2 linked regions of the Anolis sagrei genome follow. The main gene of each other region encodes a partner of the protein of the gene in region 2 in a complex. Links are inferred from orthologs where the notes say so. Each region holds a gene or a part of one and is shown on either strand. Other genes may lie near its edges. The genes, in order: AFTPH and SYNRG.

Region 1 (12,342 bases), on a different chromosome or scaffold from region 2:
GCGCAAAAGCCGGGTTGCAGCTAAACGTCAAAAAACCAAGATTATGGCAACAAGAATGATTGACAACTGGAAAATAGAGGGAGAAACCGTGGAGGCCGTGACAGACTTTGTATTTCTAGGTGCAAAGATTACTGCAGATGCAGACTGTGGCCAGGAAATCAGAAGACGCTTACTTCTTGGGAGGAGAGCAATGTCCAATCTCGATAAAATAGTAAAGAGTAGAGACATCAGACTGGCAACAAAGATCCGCATAGTCAAAGCCATGGTATTCCCTGTAGTAACCTACGGATGTGAGAGCTGGACCATAGGGAAGGCTGAGCGAAGGAAGATCGATGCTTTTGAGCTGTGGTGTTGGAGGAAAGTTCTGAGAGTGCCTTGGACTGCGAGAAGATCCAACCAGTCCATCCTCCAGGAAATAAAGCCCGACTGCTCACTGGAGGGAAAGATACTAGAGACAAAGTTGAAGTACTTTGGCCACATCATGAGGAGACAGGAAAGCCTAGAGAAGACAATTATGCTGGGGAAAGTGGAAGGCAAAAGGAAGAGGGGCCGACCAAGGGCAAGATGGATGGATGGCATCCTTGAAGTGACTGGACTGACCTTGAGGGAGCTGGGGGTGGTAACTGCCGATAGGGAGCTCTGGCGTGGGCTGGTCCATGAGGTCACGAAGAGTCGGAGACGACTGAACGAATGAACAACAACACAGACTATCTACTACGCATACATACACACACACACACACATATGTACCAGCTTTGGATAGTATAGGGAAGGGTTAACAGCTCTGTAGTTTTTCTTTTGCTGTCTGTGCCCCTGTCAGAGAAGATTTCACCTCATTTTCTATCCCTATGAGAATTGGATTTTGAAAAATTGGCTTGTTGTGCAAACAATGGTGATACAGCTTCAGTGGAAACACTTTTTCTCCATGATAATTCCTTCAGGAGTGAAATTCCCTTCAGAGAGATAGAATTCTCTCACTTCCTGTTGTCTCACCCTCGTTCTTAACTAAATAAAATAAATAAATAAACTTTATTTGTATTCTGCCACCATCTCCCCAAACGGACTTAGGGCAGCTCACAAAAACACTCAATAGTGCAATAACACAGAGAATACATTAGGTACATAAACATATAAAACAGAACAATAAACATTTTCACTCAAAGTTTATATAAAACAAACTATAAACTATCTATAAAACCCCTACTGATAAAAACTTCTTCAGTAAAAAGACAACAAACTGTGGATATAGACAAACTGTATATAATGTTACTATGTGTTGTTTGTAAATTGGGTGTTTGTCACTCAAGGACTGCTTATATAGTTGAACCACATTCTGCATAGTCCACTGTAAACACTGCACAAGAGATTAGTGTAAACATATAAAACTGCCACTGTGCAACAAGAAAATATTTATTATTGCTAAATTTTCCAGGGCCTCAACATTGAGCTAACAGGACTCACGGTTTTAAAAACAATGCTGTAAAAAATGTCTGCAATGGGGCATAGGAGTAGTAATCCCCTTTAATGCAGCCTAGCAACCCTTACCTATGGAGTAAAAAAACCTATACATGAGTAGTGTCATATACTGTATTATGTGATGAAGCAGCTAAAAAGTCAATGAGCTGCATCAAAAGAAATAAAGTGTCTAGATTGAAGGAAATCATGGAGCCCCTCTATTCTGTTTTGTTCAAATCTCACCTGGAATACTGTGCCCAGTTCTGGGCACACAGATCAAAGGAGATATTGACAAGCTGGAAGGTGTCCAAAGGAGGGCAACTAAAATGATCAAAGGTCTGGAGACCATTGATCCCTATGAGGAGCATCTTAAAGAGTTGGGAATGTTTAGCCTACAGAAGAGAAGGGAGAGAGGAGACATGATAGCCATGTATAAATATTTGAAATGATGACATAAGGAAGAGGCAGCAGGCTTGTATTCTGCTGCCTTGGAAACTAGGACTCGGAGCAATGGGTTCAAATTCCAGGAAGAGATTCCACCTGAACATTAGGAAGAACTTCCTGACTGTAAAAGGTGTTCAGCAATGGAATTCTCTACCTCGGAGTGTGATGGAAGCTCCTTCCCTGGAAACTTTTAAACAGAGGCTGGGTAGCCATCTGTCAGGGGAATTTTGGGGTTTTTACTGCATGGCAGGGGGTTGGACTAGGTGGCCCAGGAAGTCTCTTCCAACTCCATCGCTGTTCCTCGCTAAAGGGATAGGGACAGAAAATAGGTAAACAAGGAAGACATGTACTTTCAGGTGAGATTCCCAAGATGAAGTAATCCAGACATCCCGTCTGGATTACTGTAACACACTGTATGTGGGGCTGCCTCTGAAGAGTGCTCAGAAACTTCAGTTCGTTCAAAGAGCTGCAGCCAGCTTGCTGACTGCGGCTGGCTACAGTTGGCGGACAACCCGCCTGTTGCAGCAGTTCTACTGGCTGCCAGTCTGTTTCCAGGTACAATTTAAAGTGCTGGTGATGACCTTTACAGCCCTAGATGGTTCAGGTTGAGGCTATTTGGCCAACTGCATCCCCTTGTATGAACCTGCCCATCCCTGAGATCTTCAGGAGAGGTCCTTCGCTTGGTTCCACCTCCATCTCAAGCTCAGTTGGTGAGAAAGAGAGTGGGCCTTCCTTCTTGGTGGCTGCCCCTCAACTCTGGAACTCCCCTTTCCCCAGGGAAGTCAGAACAGCCCTCTCCCTGCTGTCCTTCCGGCAGCAGGCTAAAACCTTTTTCTTCAGGCAGGCTTTTAAAGAAAGAAATGTTTTTAAGATCTAGTCAGAATATTGAATATGTTTTGATAGACTGTAACTGAATTGAAATTTTGTTTGTGTTTATTACCCACTTTACGTCCTGGTGTAGTTTGGGTGAGGATGATGGGATTTGCAGTACTCACTTTCACAGACCACTGCAACCCCTACAAATGACAACCCTGGACCAAACTTAGGGTACAGACAACTTTGTGACCCACTTCATGTCCTGGTATAGTTTGGGGGACAATGGATTACGAATGATGGGCAGTTGGTAAATGTGTGTAAGGTGATATATTATGTTCATTATTGGTTATTTATTATAAGCTTATATTGATGTTGTTTTATCTATTTTGTTGATTTATATGTTGTTTGGGTTCTTGTAGGTTTTTCGGCCTATATGGCCATGTTCCAGAAGCATTCTCCCCTGACCTTTCACCTGCATCTATGGCAAGCATCCTCAGAGGTAGTGAGGTCTGAGGGTGCTTGCCATAGATGCAGGCAAAACATCAGGAGAGAATGCTTCTGGAACATGGACATATAGCCCAAAAACCTACAAGAACCCAGTGATTCCAGCCACAAAAGCCTAATCTCCATGGAAGCAGTAAACAAGCTTGCTCCCTCCTCCCTGTGGCTTCCTCTCACATATTTATACATGGCTATCATATCTCCTCTCAGCCTTCTCTTCTTCAGGCTAAACATGCCAGCTCCTTAAGCCGCTCCTCATAGGGCTTGTTCTCCAGACCCTTGATCGTTTTAGTCGCCCTCCTCTCGACACATTCCAGCTTGTCAATATCTGTCTTGAATTGTGGTGCCCAGAATTGGACACAATATTCCAGGTGTGGTCTAACCAAAGCGGAGTAGAGGGGTAGCATTACTTCCCTAGATCTACACGAATACTCAATATGCCCAAATGTGAACACTGGTGGAGTTTGGGGAAAATAGAATCTTGACATTTGGGAGTTGTAGTTGCTGGGATTTATAGCTCACTTGCAATCACAGAGCATTCTGAATCCCACCAACGAGAGAACTGGGCCAAACCTCCCACACAGAACCCCCATGTGGGCCACAGCAACGCGTGGCAGGGAACGGCTAGTAAATAATAATATCGGTTTGGGTTGGAGAACTGAGACAACATGAAACCAAGACTAAAAGAAACCCAACATCTTCTTCCCATAGTTTTTAATCGTGTGGTCTTATTGTTAATGTTGCATTATTGTATTGTCCATGTTTATTTTAATTGCTTGTATTGTTGTTATTATTACTTGTATTGTTGTATTTGGGCTTGGCCTCATGTAAGCTGCACCGAGTCCCTTGGGGAGATGGTAGCGGGGTACAAATAAAGTGATATTATTATTATTATTACTCCTGCTCAAAAAGTGCATCGTTCTGGCAAATTGGACATTTCCCTATCATCCCTTGCTTCCCCTTTTCAGAGACATAGGGCCCTTCCCCACAGCCATATATCCCAGAATATTAAGGCAGAAAACCCCACAGTATCTGCTTTAAACTGGGTTATCTGAGTCCACACCTGTATATCACAGATAATGTGGGATTGTATTGAGCTGTGTGGAAGGGGCCAAAGGCAAAGGCGGAGCAACCGCTCCCCACCCCTGGCTTCCCCTTTGGCCCCACTCCCAGCCGGACCTTCTGCTTCGAAGCCGCAGAGCCAGTCCTCCCACTCCTGAGGGGAGTAGGCCTCTTCCAGGGGACTCACTCTGGGGGGAGCGGGAGGCAGGAGGGGGCGTCCCCGTTGCCATGGAGAAAGTGAAAGGAGGGAGGCCTGCGCGGCTTCCGTCTTCCTGGCCTCGAAGGGTCTCCTGTGGGAAAGCCGCCTTACCTTGCTGTGCCTCCGAAACCCGAGGGCGGCGGGAGGGCGAGCCTTCTCCTAAAGCGGGGCCGGACATGGCAACGGCCCTCAGGGCGAGTCCATCTCTCTTTCTCTCTCTTTCTCTGCCCTCCCCCGCTTCCTTCCTTCCTTGGTCTCGCCCGGCTCAGGCGCCCGACTCAGCCCACCGCTTCCCGGCATGCAACGCAAGCTCAAGGCTGCCCTCTCCGCCACATCCTCGGCGGGCGCGCGGACGTCGCTTCCGGCAGCGGCGCGCGGGCTTGGTCGGCGGAAGGTTCACGCCCTCGCCCAGCTGCTCGCCGCCACGGCGTCAACTTCCGCTTCCGGGATGTTTCCGCACACACATACACCCCCGCCCCCTAGTGGGCAGAGAGAGGAACCACGCTCGCCCTTTCACGTCTAGATTTTGAGGTTCCTTCAAGTTAGCGCTGACTACTTCAGTCAGAGAAGTCAGCCATAGCAGAGCAGAGATGAACCAACCTGGACACAGCATATTATTCGAGATCACAGAAATGCTGGACCACTCTCACAACCACCATGTCAGACTACACAGAGAAGCCATTGAAATCCACAAGCATGTGGACAATTTCAACAGAAAGGAGGAAACCATGAAAATGAACAAAAATCTGGCTACCAGTATTAAAAAACTCTAAAATGAACAAAATCTGGCTACCAGGGCCTTCTCGGTGGTGGCCCCTCACCTGTGGAATTCACTCCCTGGGGAAATCAGGTCATCAACATCCCTCTTTTCCTTCAGAAGGAAGTTGAAAACATGGTTGTGGGACCAGGCGTTCGGGCAATCTAGCAGTGAGACAAGGACAATCGACAACTAGAATTGATGATGTGGAATTGAATTTACGGACTATGAGATGGCGAACACTGAACGCTGAGCGTTAGAATGGATTTATTGATGTGATGTTTTAATTGTTTAATTGCTGTTATTCATGTTTTATTTTATTGTTTATGTTGATGTCAGCATTGAATTGTGCCTCTGTATGCCGCCCTGAGTCCCCATCCCCGTCCCGTCCCTCCCGGGGTTGAGAAGGGCGGGGTAGAAATACCCTAAATAAATAAATAAATAAAATTAGAAGAGCACAACAACAGAGAGGAAACAAACAAGGACATCTAATCACCTCTCAACAAAAGATTACTCCAGGCACTGCTAGGCAATCAAATGCTAATCAAGGTGGTCAGTTGAAACATTCACACCTAGCTCCAGAAGACAAGAGTCCTTTGTCTCACCCTGGTCATTCCACAGATATATAAACCCTTTTGCCTAGTTTCAACAGACCTCACTACCTCTCAGGATGCTTGCCATAAATGCAGGTGAAACGTCAGGAGAGAATGCCTCTAAACCATGGCCATACAGCCTGAAAAAACCTACAACAACCCAGGGAGGACACAAACAAGGACATCTAATCACTTAACAAAAGATTACTCCAGGCACTGCCAAGCAATCAAATGCTAATCAGGGTGGTCATTTGAAACAGTCACACCCAGTAAACTTATTCTATTCTAAAGTAATTTATGAAGCAAATATTTAGTGAGATAAAGAGATTTGATAAGCTTTATACTCGTTTTACAGAATGCTGTAAATCAGGGGTCCTCAAACTTTTTAAACAGAGGGCCAGGTCACAGACCCTCAAACTGTTGGAGGGCCAGATTATAATTTGGAAAAAAATGAACGAATTCCTATGCACACTGCACATATCTGTAGTGCAAAGAACACTTAAAATACAATAATTAAAATGAACAATTTTAACAAATATAAACTTATTAGTATTTCAATGGGAAGTGTGGGCCTGCTTTTGGCTGATGAGATAGTGTTGTTGTTGTGTGCTTTCAAGTTGTTTCAGACTTAGGTTGATCCTGACCGAGGGCTGGGTAAATGACCTTGGAGGGCCATATCCAGCCCAAAGGCTTTAGTTTGAGGACCCCTGCTCTAAATCAAGCCTACACAGCCTATGGCCCTCCAGGTGTTTTGAACTTCAGATCCCAGAATCCCTGACCACTGGACAAGTTGGCTAGGGCTTCTGGGAGCTGGAGTCCCAAACACCTGGAAGGCCACAGGCTGTGCAAGCCTTTTGTAAATGGATAGTACATTTGGTTGATGGGCTATCATTCATTTATTATTTAGAACACAATGTGTTGTCACTCACAATCTTGCTGTTTTTAGCCAACTTTAACTTATTTGTCCTGCTTCTTGGCAGGGGTTGGACTGGATGGCCCACGAGGTCACTTCCAATTCTATGATTCTATGAATTTGGCTTTAATTGACCGTTTAAATACTAGACACGTCTGTCACAGACATGTCTTCCATGAAGAATGTTGAAGGACATTTTATGCAAAAGCTGTAGAGGCATTTTGAGTCAGGACATTTTGAGTGATTGTGAAATGTCCCATAGATAGGTCAGGTATTGGTACAAATACAGGAAAGCTTTACTCCTGGTGCAAATTGTGTGACCACTAACTTCTACGGCATTATGCCCACATTTACATGTGAAAAAGAGTCATGCAGTAACTAGGCATTACTGGTATTCAAACAAGCTTGTGTGCCTCATAGACAAAGGATTATGATAATAAACTACCAGATGATAATATAAGTTGGGGTTCCTGCTTATTAAAAAAATGTTGTTACTGGGTAAACCTGCAAATCTTTGAAATAATTATGACTGTTCTCATACTACAAAGCCACAAGATGGCAACCTAAGTCTAAATGTATCCTGTAAGAAAGAAGAGAGTTGTGTTGTAAGCCAGAGGCTTTCATAAATATTACTGCACAGAACTACAACCTGTCTGTATGAATAACAAAACTCTTAAGCGAAGGGGAAAACGCAGTAAAGATTCATATGATTTGTTACTAGACATTGCAATAGCTCTTCCCAGCTCTGCATAGTCGTGCAAGGACAGGTGATAATATCATGAGATATGCTAAGAAAAGTTGTATATGATGCCCTATAGCTGAGTGTGTTGGCTGCAAGTGTCGCATGAACATAACAAGAGATGACAAACATATTGGAAATATATGTAATTATCTTGAAAATTTTTTTTTAAAAAAAACATAAATTAAAGGTTTTCATGACATATACTGTGTCCCCATACATTCCGTTATTGTAATTTATGTATGTGACCGTATCTCTTATGAGGGATTTGTTTAGCCTCCAGTTTGTTAGTAAAACCAAATTTGTCATGAAATTATATATGTCTGAAAAGCATATCACCAATGTGTCCCAGTCCATTGTTGGTAGGGGCTACAGTATCTCTGGATACAGGTTTACTACAACACCCCAAAATCAAGGTCAATTACCCCCAAACAATTCCAGTATATTTAGTTGGTCAGGGGGCTTCTCTGTGCCATGTTTAGCCCAGGTACTGCAAATCCCATCTGAGAAGAATGAATGCCATCTGTGCTGTCGCACGCTGGGCCTGTGCATCAGACTGTAGACAGGACATAAATTCCGTGTGCCCAACGGGACGCCAGGGCTGCTTCAGATTAAAGGCCCTTGGATTTCCTTAAAACACAGTCTCTAGAATGCTTAAAGGTTCAACAAAGTTCTTTATTGATGAAAACAAACAGGTACTTTAAAGCTTTCTTAACTGTCTATTGGCTCTCTCAATCTTGTCCACAAGGAACAGGCACTATCTTCATAACTGTATACTAACTAATAGGGAAATCCTTAACTTCTAATCTGGGCAGTCTTTCTTTGCCTCTGTTGGCGTGGAGCCCCTACACCCGGTACCAACTGCTTCTGGCTTCCGCGAGAGACCCTTACCAAGCAGAGCTTTGTAGACTTCCAGGGGAAAAGAATTCAGGCTTCTGTGATGGCTGACTGAAGTCCTTCAGCAAAGGAGCTGTAGGGCTGTATGATCCTCGGCCAAGCTGTGGGCTGTATAACCCCGGCCAAGCAGTAGAAGACGAAGCTTTCTACAGGAGCTCTTGGTATTATGTCCTGCATGGAAAGCTTCTCTGTGTGGACTGACCCAAAAAGGCTCCTATTCCCTCCAAAAACCCAAAAAGGGGGTGGGACCAGGGAACCTAATTATAATTGACAGATGGCTTGCCCTATGATTGCAGCCAAAAGAAGCCACCTATTTGCAGAGTCCCTGAAACTTAGGACTATAACAAACATTCAATGCAAAGCAAACAAAATTGGAGCTCCTGGAACAGCTGTACCTGCACATCATCATATTACAGAAGTGACCATTTTGCCCATTACATCTAAATTCTTCCCCAAAAATCCACTTCCCAACTAGCTCCTGAAAAGAAAGCAGTTCCCAATGCTTTAGACACAGAAAAAATGCTGTACCCCACACTTGAGCCCAACAGAATGTTACGATGGAATACGATCTATAGTCTGAATGAATTATATGGAAGATGAATGAATGACCGCTAATAATTTTGGAGACACCATTCTGAAGATTAAGGCCTGAAATGATTAAACCTGTTTGATGAATTGCAATTAAAACCTGCTAATGAGAACTGAAATGGTAAACTGTGATAAGAACTGTGACAGTGATAAGAAAAATGTTTACGTCTGTTTACATTTGTCAACATTTGCTGACTAAAACTGGATTAACTCTAAGAGAAATTACCTCTGTTTACATTAGTCAAAGCAAATGCTCTTTCAAGACACAATGGTTTGTTACCAGAAGAGTAAACTGAGATGCAATCAACATGTTCTGGGACAACCGCACCAGGAGCTCCAGCTTATCTTGCTATTTGTTGATTACTGCATGTATTTTAAAGTTCTATGCCTTTGCAGTTAGATGGCTTTCCTTAGTTTGCATTTATTGGATCTATGACCTGTCAATTATTGTTTGGTTCCCTGGTCCCGCCCCTTTTGGGGTTTTGGAGGGAATAGGAGCCATTTTGGGTCAGTCCACACACAGAAGCCTTTCAAACAGGACATAAAACCAGGAGCTCCTGTAGAAAGCTTCATCTTTTACAGCTTGGTCTGGGGTATACCGCCCCATAGCTTGACCAGAGAGATGCAGTCTCAGCACAGCTCTTTTGCTGAGGATTTTACAGCCTTACAGTCCCTTTGCTGAGGGAATCTGGTCCCACAGCACTTCAGCCAGCCATCACTGAAACCTGAATATCTTCTTTTCCCCTGGAAGTCTACAAAGCTCTGCTTGGTAAGGGTCACTCGCGGAAGCCAGAAGCAGTTGGTGTAGGGGCTCCACGGCAACAGAGGCAAAGACAGACTGCCCAGATAAGAGGTTAAGGATTTCCCCATTAGTTAAAATATAGTTATGAAGATAGTGCCTGTCCCCTGTGGACAAGATTGAGAGAGCCAATAGACTATTAAGAAAGCCTTGAAGTACCTGTTTGATTTCAATAATAAAGAACTTTGTTGAACCTTTGAGCAATCTAAAGACTCTGTTTAAAGAAATCCAAAGGCCTTTAATCTGAGGAAGCCCCGGCATCCCGTTGGGCACACAGAATTTATGTCCTGTCTACAGTCTTATGTGCAGGCCCAGCATGCGACATCACACAACATGTTTCAGGATGGAAGACGTCTATCATTCATTTACAGGTTTTTGGAACATCAGCGAAATATTGCTATATAAGAGACCTTCTGATATTCCAAAAATTGTGACATAAAGATGCTGTTCACCCTCTAATCTCTGCTCCATTGGGATTGAGAGAGATAGTGTACCTTAGGAGTGTTAGATCTGCTGTGGGAAAGCAGGATTTTGTGCACTTGCTCTTTTTCTCAAGGGATGAGAAAAGAGTGCATTTTGGAGTCATGTTCTCAGGGGAATGATGCATTTTGACATTTTGGCGTTTTAGAAGCTTGATGCTTTGGCAGATTTGCAAGGAAGCAGTCTGGCCTAAGAGGTGTTCTTCTCCAGATGACAGCAGGAGAAAGGAAATGGTGATGTGTGCATGTGAAAGATGAATGATGGGTGAATGTATATGGGAAATGTGAATGTTGAGTAAAAATGTTTGTTTGTTATCCAATGTAACTGTAGGTTTGTGAATTCAATGTAGTTACACAGAATCTGTATGTCTGTATGTTAAATGTTGTTCTGTAAAAGTTCTGATAGCCTTTCTCTTACTGGAAAATTGCAATAAAAAGAACCTCTACTTTAAAGTTATTGAAACTTATTCATAACATAATGTGATGAACACCGTGGGTTATCACTTTTAAAGTGGAGGACTCCGTGGAATTTAGTAAATGTGATGAATTTTGGCCAAAAAGTATTTTTTCCACACCACCCACGAAGTGAACCAGACTGCAAGTTTAATCACTACTTCTTTGATCCAAAGCAAAACAAATTCTTCAAGCTTCTCTAAGTTTGTTTACACATACAACAAACTCAAATAGAATCACAATGTCATCATAAAAATTATAAACCTGAAATATTGACACACTGTATAAGTAAAAAATATGTAATGTTTTATTAATGTGTATGATTTGATTACTGTTTCCTTCTCACAGGCTGCTTTGAATATTATTTAACCATTATTTAACTATAATGTTGTTATAAAGACACTAAGTACAGTAAAAACTAAGTTAATATCCGATGTACTTCACCTCAAGTAACGAACACAAATCTGTCTCAGATATTGATTTTACAGAATAATTAAATTATGTTCAGTAGCTTTTCAAAGGGTTCTAAACATTTCTTGCTGAGGAGAGAAAATACTCTTAAGGTGCCATTTCTTCTGGTTCTTGGTGTCCCCTTTGAATTTTTTTTTAACAAAAATTACAAAAATCCTTACTTGGAAAAATGTGATATGCAGGGAGCAGAAGTTCTAAATGATAATTGAGGATCCTTGTCATAGATGCAGGCGAAACATCAGGAGAGAATGCTTCTAGAACATGGCCATATAGCCCGAAAGACCTACATTAACCCATTGATTCCGGCCACGAAAGCCTTTGACAATACAGTGTTCCTTGAAGTTGCCCAAAAACATCTACTCTCCCTTAAAACCACTTGGTTTAAATCATGCTCTCTTTTTTCTCTCTCTCTTTAAAAAAATTAATTTATAATTTTTTCAAACAAAATGTATAAGCATACATTCTTCCCGCTTTTTGCAATATTTTAGACAAAAGAAGATGTCATATTATATACAATCTAACAGTAAAAGAAAAAAATCAAAAACATCTTTAAGCGTATTTCTTATCATTATTATTTAATTTCCCTTACAACTTATAATTCCGTCACACATATTTTATTAACTTATACATGCTTTTTTTTCTTTATAATTATTATTATACAGTTTTCCCACCTCTTCCCCTTACCCTTAGTTTGTGCCTCCTTCACCAGGACCAACCAACTCATGCTGTTTCACAATTCCAAAATGTCATTGTTTCTCTTGCTGGCTTGTACTCCTTTCCCTCATTAAAGACATACTCAATAAATTTTCCACACATTTTCCAAAAATCTGTTTGCTTCCATATTCCCCTATTTTAATATTGCAAGTTAGCTTATCATCAATAACTATATCCCAAACTTCCCTATACAATTCTTCTAATTTAATTTTTTTTCTTTCCAGTTTTTTGCTATTAGCAATTTAGCTGCTATTATCAAATTAGAAACCAATTCTTTCTCCTCTTGTATGGGATTGTATTATCATGTATAAGTAATAATGCTAATTTTGGTGTAATCTCAATCTCTATTTTTATTATTGCTCTTATTTCTTTGAATATACTTTCCCAAAACTTTTGTATAGTTTTACATGACCACCACATATGAAGGTATGTCCTTATTTCCTGACAGCCTCTCCAACACTG
Region 2 (12,838 bases):
CTTCAGCCGGGACTCCTGATTCTGCCTTTAGCTTGGATTCCTGAACCTGACCTTCTGCCGGGACTCCAAGTACAGACCTTCCACTTTGACTCCCAATCCTGAGTCCTGGATCCAACCTTCAGCTCCAACTCCCAAGTTCAGACCTTCACAGTTGACTCTTGACTTTGACTTTCTATTGGACCCTTGTCACCCTCCTTCTGGCTCTCTACCTTCCCTCTGTCTTCTGCACTTCATCTCCATCATGACCAGAAACCAGAATTGCCACAACCAGACGGCTCATATCTGGACCAGGGAGCTGGTGCTTTCTTTGGGCATCCCCCACATCATCATGACCATCATTTCTGTGGTCTTCAACTCCGCTGTCATCTTGTCCGTTGTGTGCGCCAAGGATCTGCAGAAGCCCATCTTCCTCCTCTTCTGCAACCTGGCCTTCTCTGACCTCCTCTCCAGTGCCTCGGGCTTCTGGGTTGCCCTCTTCTTCATGCGCGACCCTCAGAGCACTGTGGTCGGCTCCCGCAAGATCCTCCGGCTCTATGCCTTCTACGCCGTGCCCATCCTTGCCACCATCTACAACTTGGTGGCCATTGGCATCGAGCGGTACTTGGCCCTGGCTGAGAAGAGGTGGACGAGGCGACGTATCACACGAAACCAGGTGTTAGGCATCGTGTTGGCGATCTGGTTGGTGGCCCTCTTCCTCGGCTTCATGCCCTTGATGGGGTGGAACTGCTTGGGCACGGACAACGTCTCAACCCTCTACAGTCCACTATGCATCAACTATCTTGCCTTCATCACTATCCCCCACAGCACCGTCTCCTTCATTATCCCATTCTTCACTTACTTGAGCATCATCCTATTCTTGAGGAAGCACAAGGTCTCCATGGGTGCGTTGGGTCAAGCCCGTTCGGTTGGCCGCCTCGCCGAGATCCAAGTGGCACGGACCAGCATCCTGATCTGGATCACGGCCTTGCTATCATACATGCCTTTCTTCGTGGCCGTGGTGCTCGACTTGGCCATGCCGCACTGCCCCACAGACCTCCCGCTGGGCATCTACATCTTCCGGAACCTGACTTCCACGATGATTGCCATCAATTCATTGGGGAACCCCATCATCTACACACTCAATGTGAAACGGTTGGGCCGCAGGATCAAGGCCTTGAAGCAGCCTTCCATCAATCGCATTGATGTTCAGGTTGTTGAGAAGATGTGAGCTCCCTCTGGACAATGACATCAGGCTCGTACGGAGCTGAAGCAAAAAATCTTGAAATATAGAAATACAGGAACAACCACCACTGAAATCAATGGCTATTACAGTGTTCCCTCGCTATTTCACGGTTCGCTTTTCACAGATTCACTGTTTTGCGGTTTTCCTTTTTTGCTACTCACTGGGCCAAGTCCTGGCTCTGCCACCGGGACGTGGCCTGGTGAGTAGCGAGCGAGCAAGGAGGGCGGGTGAGCGAGCGAGAGAGGGCTGGCCTCAAAGTCTGATGTGGCCACAGTGGTCCACGCTCTTGTTACATCCCGAATAGATTACTGCAATGCCCTCTACAGGGGTTGCCTTTGAAGACTGTTCAGAAACTCCAACTAGTCCAACGGACGACAGCTAGATTACTCACTGGAGCATCATACCGGGAGCACATCGCCCTCCTGTTATGTCAGCTCCACTGGCTGCTGGTCCAGTTCTGAGCACAATTCAAAGTGCTGGTCTTGACCTATAAAACCCTATACGGTTCTGGTCCAGCGTATCTGTCCGAATGTATCTCCTCCTACATCCCACCTCAGAGTTTAAGATCTTCTGGCGAGGCCCTACTCTTGGCCTCATCTCTGTCGCAAGTGTGCTTGGCAGGGAAGAGGGACAGGGCCTTCTCGGTGGTGGCTCCCCACCTGTGGAATTCACTCCCTGGTGAAATTAGGTCATCTTCATCCTTCCTCTCCTTTAGAAAGAAGTTAAAAACATGGATGTGAGACCAGGCCTTCAGGTAATCTTGCTGACAATCACAGTGACAATTATGACAATTGCTATGGAAATGGACTATGGACATGCATGATGGAGTCTCTAACTACAGATAAGGCCACCAGGCTGTTATTGAAACAGAAACAGGTTTTAATTAATTAATGTGATTTAATGTTTTAAATGTTTTATTGGATTTTATTATGTATTTTATTATGTGTGCATTGGAGGCATCGAATTGTTGCTGGCTGGAAGCCGCCCTGAGTCGTGTCGGGGTACAAATTCCTGAAATAAATAAATAAATAAATAAATAAATTCCAGGCTCCTGTGTCCCTACTTCACAGATTTTCACTTTTCGCGGGGGGTCTTGGAACGTAACCCCTGTGATAAGTACTCCAAGGGAAGGAAAATGGTCCAGATCCTTAGTCAGTTGGGTTCAATGTGCTCTCTTGATATGGGTGAACTATAACTCCTAAACTCGAAGGCCAATTCCCTCCAAACTAAATTACAAATTAAAAATTGGTCATTCTGAGTCTGTAGGCCAAGTTTGGTTGGTTGGGTGCACAGTAATCTCTGGATACAGGGGAACTATTCCCTCTTTTTTCTTTCCTCCCTTCCCAAAAAAATGAAAGAATGAAGCGCTGCAATTCCCGCTCTGGCCACAGGATGGCAGCAAATGATTGCCCATTGCAGCTGGGGAGTCCTATTGGCTTTAATATTTATTTATCGTTTCATCAGCAACCATACCATTGTATTACAATTCTAACAGAGCAAAACAAACACACAGATTGAAAAGAAAAAGATTTTGCAAATTTGGTAGTTGGTTAAATGTCCTTTGACCAGTATCTGGCCACTTGGAGTGCCTCTGTGTCCTCCATCGTGCATGTGGCTGGGCTCAGGGTGCATTGCAGCAGGTGGTCAGTGGTTTGTTCTTCTCCGCACTCGCATGTTGTGGATTCCACTTTGTGGCCCCATTTCTGAAGATTGGCTCTGCATCTCGTGGTGCCAGAGCGCAGTCTGTTCAGGGCCTTCCAAGTCGCCCAGTCTTCTGTGTGCCCAGGGGGGAAGTCTATCATCTGGTATCACCCATGGATTGAGGTACTGGGTTTGGGCCTGCCACTTTTGGACTCTTGCTTGCTGGGGTGTTCCAGCGAGTGTCTCTGTAGATCTAAGAAAACTATGTCTTGATTTGAGTCGTTGACGTGCTGGATGATACCCAAACGGGGATGAGCTGGAGATGTCTCTGCCTTGGTCCTTTCACTATTGGCTGCTACTTCCCGGCGGATGTCAGGTGGTGCAATACCGGCTAAGCAGTGTAATTTCTCCTGTGGTGTGGGGCGCAGACACCCCGTGATAATGCGGCATGTCTCATTAAGAGCCACATCTACTGTTTTAGTGTGGTGAGATGTGTTCCACACTGGGCATGCGTACTCAGCAGCAGAGTAGCATAGCGCAAGGGCAGATGTCTTCACTGTGTCTGGTTGTGATCCCCAGGTTGTGCCAGTCAGCTTTCGTATGATGTTGTTTCTAGCGCCCACTTTTTGCTTGATGTTCAGGCAGTGCTTCTTGTAGGTCAGAGCACGGTCCAAAGTGACTCCCAGGTATTTGGGTGTGTTGCAATGCTCCAGTGGGATTCCTTCTCAGGTAATCCTCAGAGCTCGGGATGCTTGTCTGTTCTTAAGGTGAAAGGCGCATGTCTGTGTTTTAGATGGATTAGGGATCAGTTGGTTTTCCCTGTAATAGGCAGTAAGAGCACCTAGAGCTTCGGAGAGCTTCTGTTCTACCATCTCAAAGCTCCCTGCTTGAGCAGTAATGGCACGATCATCAGCATAGATGAAACTCTCTGTCCCTTCTGGCAGTGGCTGGTCATTTGTGTAGATGTTGAACATGGATGGAGCAAGCATGCTCCTCTGAGGCAGGCCGTTCTTCTCTTTCCGCCATCTGCTTCTCTGGCCCTGGGACTCAACAAAAAAGCTCCTGTTTTGTAGCAGGTTTCCTATGAGGCGGGTGAGGTGGTCGTCCTTTGTGATATTATACATTTTTCTCAAGAGGAGGCAATGGTTCACAGTATCATAGGCTGCTGACAGGTCTATGAAGACAGCTCCTGTGATCTGCTGCCTTTCAAAGCCATCTTCTATGTGCTGAGTCAGGTTCAGCACTTGCGATGTGCAGCTTTTGCCTTTTCTGAAGCCATCTTGCTGTGGAATCAGACAGGGGTCTATTTTTTCCGCAATTCTATGCAAAATAAGTCTCTCCAGAACTTTGTAGAGGTGGCACAACAGGGAGATTGGTCTGTAGCTTTTTGGGTCATTACGGTCTTTGCCTGGCTTCAAGATGGCGATGACTCTTGCTTTCCTCCAGATTTTGGGGATCTGACAGGATGCAGTGCAGTTGTTCATCAGCTCCAGCAGCCAGCGCCTTGCTTTTGGACCAAAGTTCTTGATTTGTTCCATCCGTAGATCATCCAGGCCAGCTGCTTTGCCATTCTTACATTTGTTGAGAGCCATGTCCAATTCTGTAGATGTAAAAGGTTCATGAAGGTTGTTGAAGGGGCAGAATATCAAGGAGGTGCAATTCCCTTGGTGGCCAGGTGATGGCAGAAAATGATTGCCCATTGCAGCTGGGGAGTCCTATTGGCTTTAATGAAGAGGCAGAATATCAAGGAGGATGCAATTCCCTCTGTGTATACAAATATGCATATGCACATTTATATATACATATATATGTAGGTGTATACATGTATGCATGTGTACATATACACATATACACACATATATGTAGGTGTATATATGCATATAGAGGTAGGTATATACATATATGCATGTGTACACACACATATATACACATATATGTAGGTATCCCTCGTAGACCGAGGATGACGGTCCTCCAAGTGTAGTATCCTGGCAGTGGGTCCGTAGGTGACTGTGGAGCCCTATTCTTGATCTGCATGTTCTCCCACTGTGAGGGCATCGGTTTCCAGGTGGAAAGCGGTCCCGGTCGGGGTTGGCTTGACGCGCCTTCCTCTTGGCACGTTTCTTTCTTTTGCCCTCAATTCGTGCCTCTTCAAATTCTGCAGCACTGCTGGTCACAGCTGACCTCCAACTGGAGTGCTCAAGGGCCAGGGCTTCCCAGTTCTCAGTGTCTATGCCAGAGTTTTGAAGGTTGGCTTTGAGCCCATCTTTCAATCTCTTTTCCTGTCCTCCAACATTCCGCTTTCCGTTCTTGAGTTCAGAACAGAAGGGATATATGCATATAAATGTAGGTGTATACATGTATGTAGGAACCTCCAGTGGCGCAGTAGGTTAAAGCGCTGAGCTGCTGAGCTTGTTGACCAAAAGGTCGCAGGTTCGAATCCTGGGAGCGGCATGATCTCCCGCTGTTAGCCCCAGCTTCTGCCAACCTAGCAGTTTGAAAACATGCAAATGTGAGTAGATCAATAGGTACCTCTCTGGCCTGGAAGGTAAGGGTGCTCCATGCAGTCATGCCAGCCACATGACCTTTGAGGCGTCTATGGACAACGCCGGCTCTTTGGCTTAGAAATGGAGATGAGCACCAGAGTCCCAGAGTTGGACACCATTGGACTTCATGTCAGGGGAAACCTTCACCTTTACTATACATATATGCATGTGTACATATACACACATATATACACATATATGTAGGTATATATACACATAGATGTAGGTCTATACATGTATGCATGTGTACATATACACAGATATAGGTAGGTGTAAATATATATATATGTAGGTGTATACATATATGCATGTGTACATATACACATATAAACGCACATATATGTAGGTGTCTATATACATATATATGTAGTTGTATACATATATGCATGTGTACATATACACATATATGTAGGTGTCTATATACATATATATGTAGGTGTATACATATATGCATGTGTACATATATACATATATGTAGGTATATATACACATACATGTAGGTCTATACATGTATGCATGTGTATATATACAGAGATATAGGTAGGTGTAAATATATATATATATATATGTGTAGGTGTATACATATATGCACGTGTACATATACACACATATACACATATATGTAGGTGTCTATATACATATATATGCAGGTGTATACATGTATGAATATGTACATGTATACATATATGCATGTGTACATATACACATATACTCAAATTTATGTAGGTGCATACATATATGCATGTGTACACGTACACACATATATGTAGGTATTTATATGTAGACATATACACATACGTAAATATATATGAAAACGCATATATGCAGGTGTGTGTATACGTGCATATACATATGTGCATATGTACATATCGTATCCTATCCGATTTGTCCTCTATCCACTCCTTTGAGCTTCATGCAAATCTACCATTTTTCCAAAATATAAGACCTAAACATACAGAAATGTAGAGATGAGTGAAATTAACCTGAGCGGCTGTCAGGCATTGTGGGAACTGAAGTCCAACACGCCTGCTCTCCAGGCTCTCTGTGGGGCTCTTCCTGGTTGTTCAAACTCCAACTCCCAGAATCCTTTGGCGCGCCGGCGAATGGCGAGGCCTGCCGGGAGCTGAAGTCCAAGGCGCCTGAGAGGCCAGGCTGCTTTCGCCCCGCCCCTTTTCCCCGCTTCCGCTCAGGAGGCGAGGAGGCCGGAAGTGAGCGCGCTGACAGGAGCCGGGCAAGATGGCGCTGCGGCCGGGCCTGGGGGCTGGGCCCGGCGCTCCCTCCGCCGCCTCTCCTCCGGCGCCGGGCGGACCGGGAGGAGGAGGAAGGAGCCCCGGCCCGGGCAGGTCAGCAGGCCCAGGCGGGCAGGAGGGAGGCGGGAAGGGAGAGGCTTTGAAGGGAGGAGGCCTTGAAGGGAGAAGGCATTAGATGGAGAAGGCCTTGAAGGGAAGGGAGAAGGCCTCAACAGGAGAAAGCCTTGGAGGGAGAAGGTCTTGAAGGGAGAAAGCCTTGGAGGGAGAGGCTTTGAAGGGAAGGGAGAAGGCCTCGAAAGAAGAAGGTCTTGGAGAGAAAAGGCCTCGGAAGGAGAAAGTCTTGGAGAAGGCCTTGAAGGGGAGAGGCTTTGGAGGGAGAGGGTCTCAAAGGGAGGAGGCCTCGATGGGAAGGGAGAATAATAATAATAATATCGAACTGCAAAGATTCTGGCACAAACCAGTCAAGGTGGTCCCAGTGGTGACTGTCACACTGAGTGCAGTGCCTAAAGACCTTGGCCTGCACTTAAACACAATCGGCACTGACAAAATTATCATCTCTCCGAACGTATTCTCCCCTACGAACCATCAAGATTATTAAGATCATCTGGAGAGGCCCTGCTCTCGGTCCCACCAGCCTCGCAAGCGCACCTGGTGGGGACGAGGGACAGGGCCTTCTCGGTGGTGGCCCCGCGACTCTGGAACTCTCTCCCTCTGGAGGCCAAAACCGCCCCATCCATCCTAACATTTAGGAAACGGGTGAAGACGTGGCTGTGGAGTCAGGCCTTTGAGGAATGAGACAACACCATAGGACCCTGGATGGAAGCTGATGTAGATCCATCTTAATAGGACGACTGACCACTGTAGTTTTATATATAGTGTTTTTAAAGTTGTTTTTGTAATTGTGATATATGATATTTTAATGAGTGTATATGTTTTTTATGGCTGGAAACCGGGCTGAGTCCCTCAATGAGGTTGAGAAGCTCGGTATAGAAAACTGTGAAATAAATAATAAATAAATCTGCCAGCTGCAGAAGGCTACCTTACTGGGATCTGCACGCATTACTTGCCAATACATCACACAGTCCGACGTGTGATCCAATACAACAGCCAGCAGAGTGTCTGCTGTGGACTCATCTTGTTGTGTTTCAAATAATAATCATAATCATATATATATATATATATTGTCATGTCAGGAGCAACCGTTCCTGTTGTGAGAGAATTGGACGTCTGCAAGGACGTTGCCCAGGGGACGCCTGGATGATTTGTGATACTTTATCATCCTTGTGGGAGGCTTCTCTCATGTCCCCACATGAGGAGCTGGAGCTAACAGAGGGAGCTCATCCGCTTCTCCCCGGATTCGAACCTGCGACCTGTCAGTCTTCAGTCCTGCCAGCACAGTGCTTTAACCCACTGCACCACCGGGGGCTCCTAATAATAAAACTTTATTTATACTCCGCCACCATCTCCCCAACGGGCTAACATGAGGCCAATCCCAAAGAATTACAACAAATCAAAACAAAATACATACAGCAATTAATAACATCAAATGAAATATAAACAAAACAACTTAATACAAAATCAACATTTATTTATTTATTTACCGCATTTATATGCCGCCCTTCTCACCCCAAAGGGGACTTAGAGCGGCTTACAAAATATATTTTCACACAATATATTATATTATTAGTATAGAACAATATCAGTATTATATATTACTATATTGCACTATACTGTTATATTGTATAATACACAAAAATGAAATAAGAAAACAAAAATGAGAAGGCCTCGAAGGGAGAAGGCCTTGGATAACCCAGAGGGTTCTTCTTCCCACTGCTTCTTCTTCATCCTGGAAAGAAGTGACAAGCAGAGTGCCACAAGCAGGGTTCCTTCCTGGGCCCAGTCCTGCTCAGGATCTTCATTCATGACTGAGATCCATGGTTCTCAAACTGTGGGTCTCCAGATGGCTGGGATTTCTGGGAATTGTAGGTCAAAACACCTAGGGACCCACAGGTTGAGAACCACTGACTTAGATGAAGGGTTAGAAGGCAGGATCATCGAGTTTGCAGATGACACCAAATTGGGAGAGATAGCCAATAATCCAGAAGACAGGAGCAGGATTCAAAACTATCTTAACAGATTAGAGAGATGAATGGCCAAAACTAACACAATTAAGTTCAACAGGGACAAATGTAAGATACTCCACTTAGGCAGGAAAGAAAGGAAATGCAGAGATACAGAATGGAGGACGAGGCCTGGCTCGACAGCAGGACCTGTGGAAAAGATCTTGGAGTCCTTGTGAGGAGGAAGGGGAACAGGAGCCAAGAACATGATGCAGTGGCAAAAAAGCCAATGGGATTTTGGTCTGCATCAATAGGAGTCTAGTGCCTTGATCCAGGGATGTCATGCTCCCCATGATCTATTCTGCCTTGGTTAGACCGCACGGGAATACTGTGTCCAATTCTGGGCACCACAATTGAAAGGAGATGTTGACAAGCTGGAATGTGTCCAGAGGAAAGCGACTAAAAGGACCAAGGGTCTGGAGAACAAGCCTTATGAGGAGCGGCTTAAAGAGCTGGGCATATTTAGCCTGCAGAAGAGAAAACTGAGAGGAGACGTGATAGCCATGTATAAATAAGTGAGAGGAAGTCATAGGGAGGAGGGAGCAAGCTTATTTTCTGCTGCCCTGGGGATTAGGATACAATGGCTTCAAACTACAAGAAAGTAGATTCCATCTGAACATGAGGAAGAACTTCCTGATTGTGAGAGCCGTTCAGCAGTGGAACTCTCTGCCCCGGAGTGTGGTGGAGGCTCCTTCTTTGGAGGATTTTAAACAGAGGCTGGGTGGCCATCTGTCAGGGATGCTTTGAATGCAATTTTCCTGCTTCTTGGCAGAATGGGGTTGGACTGGATGGCCCATGAGGTCTCTTCCAACTCTAGGATTCTATTATTCTAAGGCCTTGAAGGGAGAAGACCTTGAAGGGAAGGGAGAAGGCCTTTTCTTTAACTTTGGCTATAATTAATAAGAATGGTTTTCCTCCCCTCTTCCTTTATTGATGCTTATAAATAAGTCACGGCTTTTCTAGAAAGCTTTGCATGTTTAATGGCTGGGCCTTTCTTCTCTCACTGCACGAAATGGTAACCGGAGTTGCCTGGCCTGGTTGCGCTTCACAACCAGTTGTGTGCTTGCCTCTTTCAAATAGGTGAGGAAGGTAAGCTTCCATGTTGAGTGAGCGTCAACGCGAACATAATTTCAGCAGGGTGATTTTAATGGACATGTAGATTTAAAGGCTTGAATGAAGGCATGTTAATCTCACTCTGGCATACTTTATGATTAATTCAAGAGTACACATTGCTGTTTTTGATCTGCTAGGTTGGCGGGGAGCTGGGCTGAACGTCAGGAGCTCACCCTGACACAGCTTCGAACTGTCAATCTTCCAGTTGGCAAGATTTACTGTAGCTGGTGATTAACCTACTGTGCTAAAGCTAACCCTCATCATTAAAACAGAGATTAAACACTATTAAAATACAATATACACACAGTTAAAATGCAGGTTAAATGCAGCTAGTTAAAATTGACAGGTTTGGCCTGCCAGAAGACATGGATATTCGGTTACATCTTAAATTCCGACAGCTGATTTAGCTGTTGAATCTTATTATTATTATTTATTATTTCTGGTATTTATAGCCCATCTCTTCTCTACCCCCGAAGGGGGACTCAGGACGACTTACATTGGCAGCAATTCTCTTCGATAGTCATTCCACAGCCTTAGCATTGGATATTAGCTCTGTTTCTCAAATTGTAAACTCATGGCTTTTTCCCCTCCTCTTCTTTTCCAGCTTCATGTTTCCTGGTCTTGGTCCTCAAGGTACGTAGAACAAGGCAGGCACAGTTGAACCTCCATTCCCCTCAACATACCTACTCTGCTTGGCGAGACTCCTAACCTTGTTTTGTTTTCTTGCTGCAGGGATGATCCCCATGCAACAGCAAGGCTTCCCTGTGGTTTCTGTCATGTCGCCCAACATGCAAGGCATGATGGGGATGAATTACGCAGCCCAGATGCCTCCCGGAACGATGGCCATGCAGGTTGGGAGTCACGAGAAAGTTGTATTGTCGAAGGCGTTCATGGCCAGAATCCCTGAGTTGTTGTGTGTTTTCCAGGCTGTCTGGCCATGTCCCAGAAGCATTCTCTCCTGACGTTTTGCCTGCATCTGTGACAGGCATTCTCCAAGGTTGTGAGGTCTGTTGGAAACTAGAAAGTCTACTGTATGGAGTCTACCATATACCATGCAGAAGTGGGCAAGTCTGCATAGGGGCTCCCAAACTCAGCATTCCCCAAACATGAATCAAGGAACATGAAAGGCACTGCTGACTAATAATAATAATAATAATAATAATAATTTTATACCCCGCTCTTCTCACCCCAATGGGACACTCTGGGCGGCTTATGGACCCTGGCATACAATGCCGCATTACACATCTAATAATAAACATGACATAATGATGATGATGATGATGATGATGATTATACTAAATTTATACTCTGCCCTTCTTACCACACATGGCTATTAGGGCTGGGTAACCACGGAAAAATTTGTTTCTAAACTCGATTTGTTTCCAGGGGGCGCTAGTGTTTCCAAATTCTAAATACTTCCGAAATTTTGAGATTTCGAAATTTACGAAATTTTGTATAATTACGAATCGATTCGTTAATGGCGGACGCGATTGCGCAATATGCTAAAAAAACCTCCAAATGGGACAAGGGGAACTTCTGGAGCTTCCCTCTCCCTCTGTTGTTGACTGTTGGTGTGATAATTTATTTTTTATCACTGATAAAACAAACAACAACTATAAAACTTGCACCAGACATACGGAAATAATTACGAAACAATTTCGAAACAATTTTGAACCAATTACGAAACAATACGAAATAAATTGGAAAAATTGTTTCGATTTTTAATTACTCCTCACACTATTCCTGCATGGCTCAATATCGGATCGGAAGCTAATTTAAATACGAATTAATAACGAATTACGAAATTAACGAACGAAACCGCCCAGCCCTAATGGCTATTAGTATTAAAAATACCCCTCAAAAATCATAACTGTAAATAAAGAACAGCACTCAAAAGCTGAGAATTCCAGACAAGAAACAATCAGGGCCAATGAATCACCTCCCAACAAAGGATTCCCCCGGGCAGTAAGAAGCCACACCTTGAAAACTGCTAGGCCATTAAAGGCTACTCAAGCTGGCCAATTGCTAGATTATTTGTTTGTTTACAGTATTCATATTCCACCCTTCTCACCCCGCAGGGGACTCGGGGCGGATCATAATGCACATATACATGGTAAACATTCAGTGCCATAGACACACAACATATATATACAGAGACAGAGGCTATTTAACTTTCCAGCTTCATGAGGGTATGCTTTTTGAATTTCGGCCACCGGGGGAGCTGTCGCTTCATCATTCACTTGTTTTCCTTTTTTTTTTTGTCATGTCAAGAGCGACTTGGCCACACACCCCGGAAAACACACAACAACCAAAGAGAAAATTGTTTCTTGTGCTCTTGAGGGAGACTGGCTTCTTGCTAAAGCCCTCCTTGTGTTTGCAGGGCGGCATGCCTTTGGGTCACCTGCCAGCAGCTGGAATGCAGTTCATGGGGCAGGCTCCCTTCCTAGGAATGCGCCCCACAGCCCCTCAGTACACCCCGGATATGCGGAAGCAGTTTGTGGAGGAGCAGCAGTAAGTGAGGCGTCTGAGACACTCCGGTGGTTGTTCAAAAAATATTTTATAGAATATTTAAAATCAGTATTTAAAACTTGACTACTTGTTGTAGGAAACGATTTGAACACCAGCAAAAGTTTTTGGAGGAGGAAAGGAAACGGCGGCAGTTTGAAGAGCAGAAGCAAAAGCTACGGCTATTAAGCAGCGTGAAACCAAAGGTATGTTACGTTTTTGTTGAACTCCTTTTGCATTTAATATTATGATACGCTTCTTCCAAGCACAGAAAAATGAAAGAATAAAAAGGCATCGAACATTAGAAGAGTCATAGCATGAATTATTGTGTTTCCCTGAAAATAGGGTTGGAAATTATATTAATTTTTGCTCCAAAAGATGCATTAGGGCATATTTTCGGGGAATGGCTTATGTTTTTTCATGTGTAACAATTTTCATTTATTC

What was found.
Region 1: SYNRG (region 2) and AFTPH share a complex: the UniProt entries of both Homo sapiens proteins name them as parts of the aftiphilin/p200/gamma-synergin complex. The link is inferred for Anolis sagrei from reciprocal best matches to the Homo sapiens genes SYNRG and AFTPH.

What each region holds. Positions count from the first base shown.
Region 1 is NC_090021.1:153,480,127-153,492,468, reverse strand, and holds the start of AFTPH (aftiphilin), read right to left. Parts: upstream 4,887-12,342; 5' UTR 4,589-4,886; intron 1-4,588. UniProt on the Homo sapiens protein: Component of clathrin-coated vesicles.
Region 2 is NC_090031.1:24,064,971-24,077,808, reverse strand, and holds the start of SYNRG (synergin gamma), read left to right. Parts: upstream 1-6,598; 5' UTR 6,599-6,642; coding exon 6,643-6,749; intron 6,750-10,493; coding exon 10,494-10,522; intron 10,523-10,621; coding exon 10,622-10,740; intron 10,741-12,269; coding exon 12,270-12,400; intron 12,401-12,494; coding exon 12,495-12,600; intron 12,601-12,838. Other genes in the region: lysophosphatidic acid receptor 1-A-like, read left to right, coding at 242-1,207. UniProt on the Homo sapiens protein: Plays a role in endocytosis and/or membrane trafficking at the trans-Golgi network (TGN). May act by linking the adapter protein complex AP-1 to other proteins. Component of clathrin-coated vesicles.